2 linked regions of the Pelodiscus sinensis genome follow. The protein of the gene in region 1 purifies or fractionates together with the protein of each later gene. This does not show direct contact. Links are inferred from orthologs where the notes say so. Each region holds a gene or a part of one and is shown on either strand. Other genes may lie near its edges.

The links.
Region 2: the proteins of EIF3H (region 1) and EIF3J purify together in Homo sapiens (affinity purification with mass spectrometry; 3 studies listed by BioGRID and IntAct, with this or other methods). This does not show direct contact. The link is inferred for Pelodiscus sinensis from reciprocal best matches to the Homo sapiens genes EIF3H and EIF3J.

The regions. Positions count from the first base shown.
Region 1 is NC_134712.1:23,925,369-23,932,986, forward strand, and holds the start of EIF3H (eukaryotic translation initiation factor 3 subunit H), read left to right. Parts: upstream 1-4,613; 5' UTR 4,614-4,665; coding exon 4,666-4,785; intron 4,786-7,618.
Region 2 is NC_134724.1:891,450-898,924, forward strand, and holds the start of EIF3J (eukaryotic translation initiation factor 3 subunit J), read left to right. Parts: upstream 1-4,461; 5' UTR 4,462-4,595; coding exon 4,596-4,620; intron 4,621-4,714; coding exon 4,715-4,821; intron 4,822-7,475. UniProt on the Homo sapiens protein: Component of the eukaryotic translation initiation factor 3 (eIF-3) complex, which is required for several steps in the initiation of protein synthesis.

The DNA.
Region 1 (7,618 bases):
TTAAAAAGTAAATTAAGCTTAGTTTGAGTGCTTTGCTTAATAATCTGCTTTGTTCTGTTTGCTACCTCTCTAACCACTTAAAATTCACCTTTCATAGTTAAACTTATTTCTTATTTTTAATATAACCCAGATTGTGGAATTCATAATGGTGGGGGGGAGGGGGACTGTACATATTTTCCTCCGCATTGAGGGAGGAGGTGGATTTCATAATATATCTTTGGGTCTGTACTGAATGCTGAGGCAAGTTCCTTAAGATGAGTCTTCCTAGAGCTGATCTGCAGAATGACAGACACTGAGTTGGGTGTGGCCCTGCCTGTCTGTATCCTGGAGGAGGATTAATATCCTGGTTCAGCAAGATAGGTGGAAAAGATGTCCAGATTGCCACTGCTGGCAGGCTCAGTGGTATCTCAGCACATCAGGTAGCAACCTGTGCGGAGCTCTTGGACACAATTATTGGTATTAGTATAGAATATAAATTGCCATAGGCAAGGTAGTCTAGAATTTTAAGTAGACAGAAGGAAGGCTAGCATAAAGTCATTTCCAAAGTCTACTAACATCCAGGAAATTACATCTTTCAACCTGTTCTGTGGAGAACACTGATTCCCCTTACATTTGTATTACAATTACACCCTACAATATCATATCTCACAACACACTACAATACTCTTTTTATGTAGGCTCAAGGCTATCACTGCTTCATACAAACCTGACCTGTTAGGGTATGTCTACATGGCTGCAGCTGGCTAGGGTCAACTAGTTGAGCCATGCAAGGATCAGAATGCGGGACTGACTATTTCTGTTTAGATGCTTGGGCCGGAGTTTGGGCTCTGGGACCTCCTGTCTCTGAGGGTCCCAGGGCTTGGACTTCAGCCCAAATGTCTACACAACAATTGTATAGCCCCCAAAGCCTTCATTCCCTCTCCTCTAATTCTTCCTGTTGGAAAATCTTCAGTGCTAACTCTTGTCCCCTTAGGTGACACATGTGGGCATGTACAGTCACATTTGTCCCTTGATTTCCTGGTGGGAGTTGGGCTGAGTGCAGCTGAAAGGATTTGCCTGGAAAAGCCACCAGCAGTGAGCACTCCCACGGAGTCACACAGAGCAGAGTGGTGAGACTGGGCTGGCAGCACAGCACTGCCAGATGGGACCTAGAGAAGCCAAATCACGTTCTTTTTATGTCAAAGCAGGTGCAGTTACCTGCTTGAGTATGTGTCTAGACTAGCCTGCCAAGAACTTGGGAGTCTGTTGGGGTAATGGGGAGGAGAGGAAGTGGGGCCTGAGGGAGAGGTGGGGAATCCAGGGAGGCAACAGGGGTGGGTGGAATGCCTAGGGAGAGAGTTGATAGGGGCTGGGAGAAGCAGTAGGGGCCAGGGAGGATTGGGGAAGCAGCAGGGGCCAAGATGCTGGATAAGTCACTGGGGGCCAGCGGGCCATCTTCTCTAAAGCTGACCTGGTAATGCTAGTCTTAACGGTAGGTGACCAACATGGCTTCCATGGTCAGGAGGGTGCCTTGGTGATGGTGGGGCTGCCATTGTGCTCCCATCAATCTCAGCCTGGACCATTCTACATGACAAATCTATTTCCTGGACACCCCAGTACAAATCACCAATGGTAAAATAGACACCACTCTCTACAGAAACCCACCGACACATATAGTTACCTACATGTCTCCAGCTCCCATCCAGAACACACCATACGATCCATCATCTACAGCCAAGCCTTTCAATACAACCGCATCTGCTCTAATCCCACTGATAGAGACCAGAAACTTCAGGATCTCTACCAACCATTTATAAACCTCAACTACTCACCCAGAGAAAGAAAAAAACAAATTGAAAGAGCCAGACGAATACCCAGAAACCATCTACTTCAAGACAGACCCAAGAAAACCAACAATAGAACACCACTTGTCATCACCTACAGCCCCCAACTTAAACCCGTCCAACACATTATCAATAAACTACAACCTATACCAGAACAGGATACTAAACTCCAAGAGGCTCTGGGAGACAGACCCCCATAGTCTCCTATAGACACACCTAACCTCAAGATGATTCTTACCAACAACCACAGGACCTACCACACTAATACCAGCCCTGGAACCTTACCTTGCAACAAACCCTGTTGCCAGCTTTGTCCACATATTCATTCTGCTGATACCATTATTGTACCTAACTTATTGAGTTATAAGATCAAAAACACACATTCCTGCTCATCCAGAAATACAAATTTATTCTCTCATGTGCTAATAATGTCTGTCTGCTATGTACATTGGACAAACGTCTCAGACACTTCGCCAAAGAATCAATGGCCACAAAATAGATATTAGACAGGATCACAAAGAATAAACAGTTTATTGCCATTTCAACCAGAAAGGGCATTGTCTCAAGGACTTAACTACCTCCATCCTGCTTCAAAAACATTTTAACATTAGACTTGAAAGAGAATCCTCTGAACTGTCATTCATGCTTAAATTTGACGCTTTACACCTAGGTCTTAACAAGGACGCTAATTATCATACCCATTACAAAGATAGCTTCCCCAATTATCACCTCTAATATCATTAGCTCACAGTCATTTAACTCCCCCCTCATCCCCTTTCTGTTCTGAAATTTGATTTGTCCTTTTTATATGTGTTCATTTTTTTGATTGTATCCTTTGGTATATATAGTCCTGCCAATTTTCTTCCACTATTTGATCTGAGGAAGTGGGTCTGGCCCACAAAAGCTCATCACCTAGTAAACCATCTTGTTAGTCTTTAAAATGCTACATAGTCCTGTTTTTTGTTTCACCAACACCAGACTAACCTGGCTACATTTCTATTAATATTATTCTCAGTTACCTATGCTTGTCCCCCTCTCCTTTACCCTCAGCCCATATCCTCTTAGGAAGTCTTCAGCACCACATCCTCATTTGCCTTGAATCCTGTTGGTCGGTGGATTGCCAGCACAAGCCCTTAACCAATGATTCAGCCCTGGTCTGATCATAGAATCATATAATCATAGGACTGGAAGGGACCTCGAAAGGTCATCGAGTCCAGCCCCCCGCCCTCAGGGCAGGACCAAGCTCCGTCTACACCATCCCTGACAGATGTCTATCTAACCTGTTCTTAGATATCTCCAGAGAGGGAGATTCCACCACCTCCCTTGGCAATTTATTCCAATATTTGACCACCCTGACAGTTAGGAATTTTTTCCTAATGTCCAATCTAAACCTCCCCTGCTGCACTTTAAGCCCATTACTCCTTGTCCCGTCCTCAGAAACCAAGAGGAACAAATTTTCTCCTTCCTCCTTGTGACACCCTTTTAGATATTTGAAAACCGCTATCATGTCCCCCCTTAATCTTCTTTTTTCCAAACTAAACAAGCCCAGTTCATGAAGCCTGGCTTCATAGGTCATGTTCTCTAGACCTTTAATCATTCTTGTCGCTCTTCTCTGTACCCTTTCCAATTTCTCCACATCTTTCTTGAAATGTGGCGCCCAGAACTGGACACAGTACTCCAGCTGAGGCCTAACTAGTGCAGAGTAGAGCGGCAGAATGACTTCACGAGTTTTGCTTACAACACACCTGTTGATACAACCTAGAATCATATTTGCTTTTTTTGCAGCAGCATCACACTGTTGACTCATATTCAACTTGTGGTCCACTATGACCCCTAGATCCCTTTCCGCCATGCTCCTTCCTAGACAGTCGCTTCCCATCTTGTATGTTTGGAACTGATTGTTCCTTCCTAAGTGGAGCACTTTGCATTTCTCTTTATTAAACTTCATCCTGTTTACCTCTGACCATTTCTCTAACTTGCTAAGGTCATTTTGAATTATGTCCCTATCCTCCAAAGAAGTTGCAACCCCACCCAGTTTGGTATCATCTGCAAACTTAATAAGCGTACTCTCTATCCCAATATCTACATCATTGATGAAGATATTGAACAGTACGGGTCCCAAAACAGACCCTTGAGGAACTCCACTTGTTCTCCCTTTCCAGCAGGATTTAGCACCCTTAACAACAACTCTCTGACTACGGTTATCCAGCCAATTATGCACCCACCTTATCGTGGCCCTATCTAAGTTATATTTGCCTAGTTTATCAATAAGAATATCATGCGAGACCGTATCACCACCTGTCCTAGAGCAAAGCGATGCAACACGTGTGCGTGCTGGGACACGGGCTGCCTTCCTAGGAACAGCTCTATGTCACTTGGCGAGTGACCTTCCCCACCCCCGCACAGTCCTAGTGTGGACGCAGCTCCCGCAGTCGGAAGGCGCTCGGGCTGCTCCAGCACAGCGGCTTCCCCCAGCGCATCCCACGGGGCGGACGTGCCACAACCCGCCCTTCGGCCGCGCTCACACTAACCCGGCACCTTCAAGGCCGCCCCACGGCTTGTCTCTGCACATACGTGTAGGGGGAGGGGCAGGAGAGCCGTGACGACTGATCAGTGACGCGCGTGGGTATATTTCCCTAGCTCCTTCCCCAACACGCACCCCCATTTTCTTCTACGCACGCGCAGTGTCTCCCATCCACTTAACTGCGGCCCTTTTTGACCCTTCCCTTCGTTTCCGTCCGAACCTCGTTCAGGAGCCCACCGCAGGGTTCTTAGCCGCGCTTCCGGTGTTTCATTTTTCTCTTTCCGGCCGGCGAGCGGGTGAGAGGAAGAGTCTCTCAGCATGGCGTCTCGCAAGGAAACCACGGGGCCCGCCAGCACCGTCTCCTCGGTCGCCACTAAAGCCAGGGGCAAGGCGGCCCCGGGGGACTCGGCGGTCAAGCAGGTGCAGATCGACGGGCTGGTGAGTGAGCGGAGGGTCCCTGCGGCCGCTTGGGGGGCGAGCAGAGTTCGGGGCCGCGCGGGGGCAGCGCGGCGTGTAGCTCTGGGCACGTTCTGCGGAGAGAGTCGGTGCCCGCCCTCCCCTCCCCACTGGTATCGGCCTGGGGCAGGCAGGAGTGGCGCCCAGAGGAGCCCGCGCGGCTGGGGGAGAGGCGGTCAGCTCCGCTTGTGCGACCGCCTGTGATGGCTTGTCCGGGGATAAGGGCGGCTGGCTGACGAAACCCCTTCCCAGAGGACAAAGGCAGCTCCTGGCCACCTTCCCCCTGCGGGCTGGTGCTGGTGGTTTCCAGGATATACTAAGGATGTCAAAAAGCGTGTAACTTGTCAGTCGTGTAGTGGACACATTTTTTTGTCGACTACACAATTTATCTTTATGGGGTGGTGCTGCTACCACTCAGTCCCGATTCCTACCAAATCCGGCTCCTACCCCCGCTGTGGCTCTGCATTACAAGCACTTCCAGAATTAATAGCTGGCGCACGGTCAGGCTGGCTCAGTCTTGGCTCATGCCGGGACCCAGCAACTACCCCTGCTGCGGTTCTGCACTGTGCTGGTGTGGGGGTTGATCCTGGGTCTTGCACACGAGCCAGAACTGAGACAGTCTCTGAAAACATCCATTCAATGTGCAGCAGTAGTAAAAAAAACAAAAAACAAAAACAAAAAAAAACCCCAATAACCCAAAGGGCTAGAGAATAAGAGAACATCTTATTTCTTCTATATAAATCCACGGTACACTCATGTCTTGAATAATGTGTGCAGATGTGGCTGCCTAATCTCAAAAAAGATATGTTGGCATTGGAAAAGGTTCAGAAAAGAGCAACAAAATGATTAGGGGGTTGGAATGGGTGCCATATGAAGAGAGAGAAAAAAGACTGGGACTTTTCATGTTAGAAAAGAGGAGACTAAGAGGGGATGTGATAGAGGTCTATAAGATCATGAGTTGTGTGGAAAAAGTGACTAAGGAAGGGTTCTTTACTTTTTCCCATAACATAAGAACTAGGGGGTCACCAAATGAAAGGAATAGGTAGCAGGTTTAAAACAAAAGGAATTTTTGCTCATGCATTGTACAGTGAACCTGTGAAATTCCTTGCCAGAGGATGTTGTGAATACTAGGATTTTAAAAGGGTTAAAAAAGAACTAGATACATTCATGGTGGTTAGGACCATCAGTAGCTGTTAGCCAGGATGGGTAGGAATGGTGTCCCTAGCCTCTGTTTGTCAGAAGCTAGAAATGGATGACAGGACAGGGATCACTTGATGATTCCCTGTTCTGTTCTCTTTCTCTGGGGCATCTGGCATTGGCCACTGTTGGAAGACAGTATGCTGAGCTATATGGACCTTTGGTTTGACCCAGTATGGCTGAGTGCCTGGATCTGTCACCAGCCCCTGCTGTGACTTAGCCACTCAGCCAGCCTGGTTAAAATTTACTTGCAGGGCAGGGGGGTTGCATGTAGTTGATAACATTAACTTATAAAAACTGGTTTATCGGTTAATCATTTAGTCGACTATACTGTTACATTCTTAGGGAGTACCTGGCGTAAATTCCTTCCTAAACTGCCTTAGGAAGTATAGATCAGTACTGCTGTTTGGGGGTGCGTCGAGAGGGGTTGAAAGCTACCTGCAGAGCAATGTTCAGGGTAAAGGCACATGTCCAGGCCGCCTCTGGGACCTGTGGTATTTTGGTAATGGAGTCCAACACTACCTGCTACCAGGGTCTTCCCCCAGTTTCTTTTTTCCACCTTTTAATGTTCCAGCACAGGAAAGGTGCAAGTAAACACAGAATTGTAGTATTGGAAGGGATCTCCAGAAGTCTTCTAGTCCAGTGTTTCTCAACTTACTTTTTCAAAAAAAAAAAAAAAAAAAAGTACCCCTAGTACCTACAGTTTTCAGACATACCATTTTTTTTCTACCATTGTAACACATTTGTTTAAACAATTTAATCGTATCCAGGCGGGCAATGAAATTTTTGGGTATAAAAAGTACAAAAATAATAAAGCTCTGTAAAACTTAAAACAAAATTTCTGTTTTCTCCAAATTTCAGTTGTGTTGATGTATCCCCCAGACTTCTCTCAAATACCCTTAAGGGTACTCAATCACTGGTTGAGAAACACAGTTCTAGTCCAGTCCGCTGTACTTACGGTAGGACTGCGTTTTAACTAGGTCACTGCTGACCAGTGTTCCCTGTAAGCTAAGTGCTTGGGCTCCCACACAAGAGAAGCTCAAATGCTGCACAACTGATTAGCAGAGCACTCAAAGTCTGCAATATGTATTTCTACTGGTGGTGCATATCTGCACATGCCACGGTTCATATAATACAATTTATTTTGCTCATGGATGGAAAAAATTACAGGGAACACTGCTCCAACAGGTATTTAAGTACTTTTAGAAACCTCCAATGACAGAAACTGCAAAACCTCCCTAGGTAATTTTTCCAATGCTGAACTACACTGAGAGCTATGAATCTTTTTCCTAGTATTTTACCTAAACCTCTTTTGCTGTAATTTAAGCGTATGGTTTCTTGTTCTTTCTCCAGAGGTTAACGAGAACAATTTTTTTCTCCTTCTTGTAACAGTTATTTTATTTACTTGAAAACTATTATGTCCCATCTCAGTCTTCTCTATTCCAGACTGAACAAACCCAATTTTTTTCATTCTTTCCTCAAAGATCATGTTAAGTTTTTGTTGCTCTTCTGTGGACTTCCTCCAATTTGTTTATTTTTACATTGCTTATTGTGTCTTTCTTACAGCACTCGTGTTAACATCCCAAAATAATGATTGCTTTTTTGCAACAGCATTGAC
Region 2 (7,475 bases), on another chromosome or scaffold:
GTAAATTCAGAATGCTCTCACTAAACCACAGGACCTAGCACCTTGTACCAAGAATAATTACCAGCATGCTGAATAGATCGTATCTTTGCTGGGCGCCAAGCACTGGACCAAAGACCAAGGTTAGATTTTGTCAATGACATCTTTATTTGCCATTGTCCTAAATCCATCAGACGGTATTCAAGTCAGGGTAATGACGAGCTACCAAAAAACTAACTACTGTGGCAAAGCTCCGGCTGTGCCCTGAGGGTCTTGCATTTCTAGCCAGTTGTTGAAGCAAAATACAGGACTATGTAGCACTTTAAAGACTAACAAGATGGTTTATTAGATGATGAGCTTTCGTGGGCCAGACCCACTTCCTCACATCAAATAGTGGAAGAAAATAGTCACAACCATATATACCAAAGGATACAATTTAAAAAAATGAACACATATGAAAAGGACAAATCACATTTCAGAACAGAAGGGGGATGTGGGGGGGGGGAGGTAAATGTCTGTGAGCTAATGATATTAGAGGTGATAATTGGGAAAGCTATCTTTGTAATGGGTAAGATAATTAGATTGTTTGTTGAGACCGAGGCGTAAAGTGTTGAATTTTAGCATGAATGACAGTTCAGAGGATTCCCTTTCAAGTGCAAGTATATGTGGTTGTGACTATTTTCTTCCACTATTTGATCTGAGGAAGTGGGTCTGGCCCACGAAAGCTAATAAACCACCTTGTTAGTCTTTAAAGTGCTACACAGTCCTGTATTTTGCTTCAGCTACAACAGACTTACACGGCTACATTTCTATCACTAGCCAGTTGTTGTTTGCCTCACAGGCTCGCTGTGACCCTGCACACTAGAGGGCCTTTTCTAGAGGCCAGGGTCACAGCTTACTTGAGCCATCCTGATCATTGGCAAAGTTACAGGATTGGGATGAAACCCCTCCATAATCCAGGCATCCCTTTCAAGGAACAGACCCTTTTAGTGGTGTGGGGAGGGTTCAGGGGAACTCAGGTCCACCCGCTACTCTGGATTCTGGCCCAGGGACCCTAGGTAGTGGCTACTGTCAGGGCTTTAGTCTCTAGCCCTAATACAGCAGCCTTTTCCCTGGGCCAAGTCCCCAAATGCTCCCCTAGTTCCTTCTCCCTGGTACTGAGCTAATCTTTCCTGCTTCAGCCCAAATACTCTCCTTTTTGCTAGGAATGTTAGCATATAGTTGTTTAAAGATTAACTGATAAACCTGGGCTTATCGGTTAATTCAAACAGCTGCACACACACACCCCAAAGGGGGGCTGGCAGAAGCCAGTGCCTGCAGGGAGCCTCCACCCCCACTGCCTCCCACAGAGACAGCAACGCAGGGAGCAGGTGGGAGCTGGAGCTCAGGAATAGTCATCTTAATAATAAACCTTCCCATCCCTAATCTATAGAGGTGCTGGCTCTGGCTAGCTGCCCAAGTATGCACTCAAGGACTCAGGTAGGACTGTACAAACTCAAAGCTAGCCGCTACTTGTGCTGCAATCACACCACCTGACTGCTGTAGAGAATAAAGGAGAACACGCATGAAGCTATGTTGTAGCCGATGCTTCACAGCAGCCTGTGCGCCTTGTCTCCAGACTTTTCAGCCATGCTAATCAGAACATTTTAGTGAATGTGCTCGGACATCAGACCTTTTACCCTAGTCTAGGCAAGGCCAGAAGAAACCCAGCAGAGAACCCTGCTGCTGCCGCCTTCCCCAATCAGGCAAGAGCTCTCTCTCCTAGCCCCAAAGCACTTGTCAACAGAGGGACCCAAGCCCAAAGAGAATTCCCCCACACAACCAGACACCTTTCCCTGTGGAATCTCAGCCAGAGACCCCCCCCTCACTTCCCCTAGAGATCTTCCCTTCCGTCACCCAGCCACAGTCCCCTGAGATGGCTCCCTATCTACCTCAAGGCCCACAAAAGCTCATGATCCTAGATATCTAGGGTACCTTGTCTCTAAGGCTGTGTCTAGACTGGCATGATTTTGCAGAAATACTTTTAACGGAAAAGTTTTTCCGTTAAAAGTATTTCCGCAAAAGCGCGTCTAGATTGGCAAGTGCCTTTGCGCAAAAGATTTGCTTTTGCACAAAAGCATCCGTGGCCAGTCTAGACGCGATTTTGCGCAAGAAAGCCCCGATCGCCATTTTAGCCCTTGGGGCTTTTTTGCACAAAACAGTTCTTCCCTGTCTACGCTGGCCCTCTTGCGCAAGTATTCTTGCGCAAGAGGGCTTTTTCCCAAGCAGGAGCGTAAAAGTATTTGCGCAAGAAGCCCTGATTTTGTACATTACAAAGTCAGTGCTCTTGTGCAAATTCAAGCGGCCAGTCAAGATGCACCCTAAGGGTATGACTGGAATACGTTGTTTTTTCAAAAAAACTGCACCTGTGGCCACACTACAATCGTGTTCTTTCAAAATTAAATCAAAAGAACGCAGGGGTTTTTCGATATTGGTAAACCTCAAATTATGAGGAAGAATGCCTTTTTAGAAAGAGCTCTTTTGAAAAAAGGCATGTGTGGACGCAGAACAGGGACATTTTTCGATAGAGGTAGCAATTGAAAAAAACACAGGCGCCCTGGTGGCCATTCAGGGAATAGCAAACAAGGCTTTCTTCTGAGAGAGTGTCCATGCAGTCTGGATACTCTTTTGAAAAAGATCACTGTTTCCATCTGGTTTTGAGGTCTGGATGCTCTTTCCAAAGAAGCTTGCAGTCTAGATGTACCCTCTGGTACGACAAGACTGGTGGTTGTTTTTTAAGTAATGCCACGAGCAGTTAACTGCTTTTGCTACTTCCACTCTAGCTCATCTGAGGAAGTGGGTCCAGAAAGCTCATGACCCTAGACCCGTGGTCGCCAACTGGTCGATCGCGATCTACTGGTCGATCGCGAGGCGTCCTGTCCGCCCTGCCCTCATTTCCCTCCCACCCCCGAGATGCCCCACTACCTACCTCAAGTGAAAATGGAGGTAGTGTCGGCTTCCCGGGGATGGACAGAAGTCCCGCAGCTTAGCGCCACTTCCGGTGAGTCCAGAAGTGCACTAGCTGCTCTGCCGGGTGCACTGCGGGAGGGAGCATCGGCTCCCTGCACCGCACAGGAGGGGTGAGTCAGCCCCGGGGGAGGCGCGCCGGGAGTTTCTCAGCGCGCGCGGGGGGAGGGGGTGTTGGCCCCGGGGCAGGTGTGTGCATGAGGGGCTTCCCTGCACGGGGGGGCTTGGCCCCAGGGCAGGCGCGCGCGTGCGTGGAGCTTCCCTGTGCGGGGGTGAGGGTGTCGGCCCCGGGGCAGGCGTGCGCGGGGCTTCTCTACGCCGTGGGGGGTCGGCCCGGGGCAGGCACGCGCTGGTTTTCCTGGCGGGCGGGGAGGGTAGGAATCCTGGGAGGAGGCAGATGCAGAGGATTCTCTGCCTCCACTGGCACCCCACTCCCCAGCCACAGAACGCCATCCCCACTCCCGTCCCCACTCCCCGAACGCTGTCCCCACTCTCCTGTCCCCAGCCACAGAACTCTGTCCCTATTCCCGTCCCCACTCCCTGAACTCTGCCCCCACTGGCACTCTGTCCCCTGCTGCAGAACCCTGTCCTCTGCCCTCCCAGCACCCTGTTCCCTCTCCCCTGCCCCCAGCCACAGAACTCTGTCCCCACAAAATGTGTAATTTTAAATTCTTGATTTTAGACGTAAATAGCATGAATAAAAAACAGACCATTTATTTCATAACTATAAACACGTGATTTTAATTGTTTGTATCGCATAATTTAAAAATAAACTTTATCAGAGTGTGTAAGGGCTGGGGATAGCAAGTGATGGACAGGAGGAGACGAGAGAGGGCGGGGCTTCAAGGAAGGGGCGGGGCGGTGGATCTTGGCTTGGTCTGTCATTTAAAAAGTGATCTCGGGTGCAAAAAGGTCGGAGAGCCCTGCCCTAGGCAGTGGTTGGTCTCTAGGGGCTGCCTGCCCCGTGTTTGTAAAGTTACAGATTAACAGGGCTGCCCCCTGAGCCTCCTTTCCAGAGCCCCCCCCAGAGCCCCCCCCACCATGTCCCCCCCACCCAGAGCCCCCCTCCAACCATGTCCCCCCACCCAGAGCCCCCCCACCATGTCCCCCCCAACCATGCCCCCCCCACCCATGTCCCCCCCACCATGTCCCCCCCACCCAGAGCCCCCCTCCAACCATGTCCCCCCACCCAGAGCCCCTCTTCCCCCGTGTCCCCCCCACCCAGAGCCCCCCTCCAACCATGTCCCCCCCACCCAGAGCCCCCCCCACCCAGAGCCCCCCTTCCCCCAAGTCCTCCCTTCCCCATGCCCCCCCGAGCCCCCTCCCCCTCTTTTCCCCCCAGACTCCTGCCCCGACGCCCCACTCCCAGCCCCCCCCTCGGTCGCTCCCTCCCTCCCTCCCTCGAGCGCGCGAGCCCAGCCGCGGCCCCGCGCTGCCTCCTCGCGCGCTCACGCGGATCCGCCCGCGCGCTGCCCCGCCCTCCCTCGCGCCGGGGGGGCGGGGCCTGTCCGTCCGCCGCTATCCCGGCGTGCCCCGCGCTCCGGCCGACTGGCGGGGACGCTCTCGGCTGGGGCTGACTCAGCCCGCGGGAGGCGCCTGTTCCGCGGGGCAAGATGGCGGCGGAGGCGGATTCCTGGGGTAGGTGCTGGCCGCGCTCGCGGCCCCGGCCCCCCCCCCCCCGTATCCCCCCGCCCACCCGGCCTGACGCGCGCTCTCTCTCTCTCCCCCACAGACGCGGACACCTTCGAGGCGGCGGAGCCGGTGGCCAAGCGGCTGGTGCCGACGCCGGGGGCCGCGGGCGACCGCTGGGCCGGGGAGGATGAGGAGGACGATGTGAAGGTGGGGCCCGGGGCCGCGTGTGCGGAATAAACGTACCGCGTGCGCCGAGGGGCACCACCGGCGGGGCGGGCCGAGCGCTCCCGGGCACGCGGGCTGCCCCGGCGGGGGGGGGGGGCTGCGAGCGCCCCCGCCCACCCGCGAGTCTCCATCTTAACGAGGCGGTGGGAGTCTCCTCCCGCTGAGCGACACTCGCCGGCGAGCTCGTGGCCTGGGCGCGGGCCCGGCGGGGGGGGGGCCGGTTCCGCGTCACCTGAAGCCTTTTAAAACGCTCTAGTCCGATCCGCAGTGGCGCCTGAGCTGGGACTTACTCGAGTTCAGTCGGTGCCATGTCACGTGCTCTGAACCCCGCCTGCATGGGCACTGCCTGGCCAGCGCTAGAAAGGTCCAGTGAGCCGGGACTAGACACGTCTCCGAATGGGCCGCTTCCCCCGGCCGAGAACTGCGCTTGCTCTTAGGTTTCTCAGTTCAATGACTATGGTTACCCGCCTGTAACTTCCTTCCCACTGGCCCGTCTGTCTCCTTTCCAGAGCAAAGCCCCTGTCCGTTAAAAGATGTCTACAATCCCAGTAAATAGAGCACTCTGTGTGTGTTGCCCATTTACCACATTTAAGTTGCTGGCAGGCCTCTCTACTAAACTTCCCTGGGATCTGCCGGCATTCAACTTTTGGACTCTCCTCTGGAGATTGTCTGTATCACCTGCCCCCTTACAGGTTCTTACCTGATGCAGCAACTGGGGAAGAGGTGTGCACTGAGGGAAGTTTGAGTGGTTGAACTTTTTCCAAATAGCCCCGTCTTGGCATTCCTTATCTCCCACAGGGCAGAAACGTGTCTTTACTTTAGTGGTGTCTCTTGTAAACCTAGGCAGTCCTTCATTGTTTCTTTTAGTATTAGCTAGTGCTCAGAGGGTTAAAATGGTACCAATCTATTAGGTGTGTCTACACTTGCACCCTCTTTTGAGCGAGGGATGCAAATGTAGACATTCAAAATTATAAATGAAGCCAGGATTTAAGTATTCGCGGATTGGTGCTATTTCGAAATAAAAAACTCTGTTTAGATGTGGTTATTTCAGGAGAAAACCCTTCTCTCAAAATAACCCTTACTCCTCAAAAAATGAGTAAGGGTTATTTTGAGGGAAGGGTTTTCTGTCGAAATAAACTCCCTCCCCTTTTTCTCCCTGCAAAATAGCACTATTGCGAAATAGAGCCATAGTGCGATTATGCAAATGAAGCATGGGATATTTAAATCCTTACTGCAGTTGCAATTTTGGGTGTCTACATTTGCATTCCTCTCCCGAGAGAGAGGAATAAAGTGTAGACATACCCTTAGAGAATCATGGAGCTGGTTTGCTGTCTTTCACGTTCGAGTTTGAACTAAATGTTCAACTTTAAACCTAGTCTGTTTAACAGAAGCATGTTGATTGCCTAAATGCTATGCAGCATAATTCCCTTAACAAGAAAGACAAGTTGTGAGGGATACCCCAAAAATTCTAGGTCTTAGACCTTGGGCATATATCAGCAACTGGCAATGACTACTGTACTAGGAAAGTTAAATATCAGTTAATCAAATAGTTGAGTAATCTCAAAAATTCTTATCGGTTAGTCCACTATTCTGTAGTCCTTGGGGGCAGGACCGGCAGCCAGTGTGCTCCAGCCCCACTCCTGAAGAGCCCCCTGTCACTTCGCGTTGCTACCTGTATCAGAGGCAGCAGCACAGGGTGCCAGGCAGGAGCTGATCCACGAGGGGAGGCAGTTTAAAAACCAGCTCATCTCGCAGACAGCTGTTGCCCTCTGCTGCTACCTTTGATAAAGAAGCAGCAGGATAGGATGGCAGCAGCCCCTGTCTGAGGGGGGTCTGAGCTCCTGGACCTGAACCAGGCTGCCTTCCTGCCTGCCTGGCTCCTAATACACTTTAAATGCAGAGCCGCAGCAGGGGTAGGTCCCAGACCCATTTCAAGCCAGAACAGCCAGCCTGCTGGCCAGCCTGCAAAAACATTTACTGGCAAGTCGGGGGGCAAGGGGTGCGGTGCGTTTAGTCTTCAGCAGTGTGTCCCAATTTTATTTGGCCATGGAACCCTTTTAAACTCAGAAGAATTTCAAGGAACCCCTTCAGCTGGGGGGAAGATTTGTCAAGGGGGGGGGCCCACCAGGAAAAATGTGTCGAGCACAAAATAAAAGGCGGGCGGGGGCAGAATGGACCAGGGAGACTTGCAGGCTTTGGGAACCCAGAGTGGCAGCGGGGGAGAGGAGGTGTCTGAAAGCCGGCGGGAAACCAGAGAAGCATCCAGCATCTTTGTGTGCCGATACCTCTCTGTCTCTTTGGGGGGGGGGAGGGAGAGAAGTAATGAAGTTCTCGCGGAACCCTTACTTTTGCTTCCCAGAACCCCAGGGTTCCGCGGAAACACTGGTCTATAGCATTAACCTATAAGCTTTTGCTAATTGGTTAATTGACGACACTATTACATCCCTATTCTATAAGGTGCCACAGGACTCCTCGCCGCTTATCCCTATTCCATACAACTATATCTAACAGACATCAGAATGACGAGAGGGTATATACTATCTCTGGAATCTAAGATCTTCAAAGGGGTCTTTGGTTTTGTAAAAATATTTTTAAAATGGGTAAAGGTAGTGTTCTAAAGTTAGACATTGAATCAT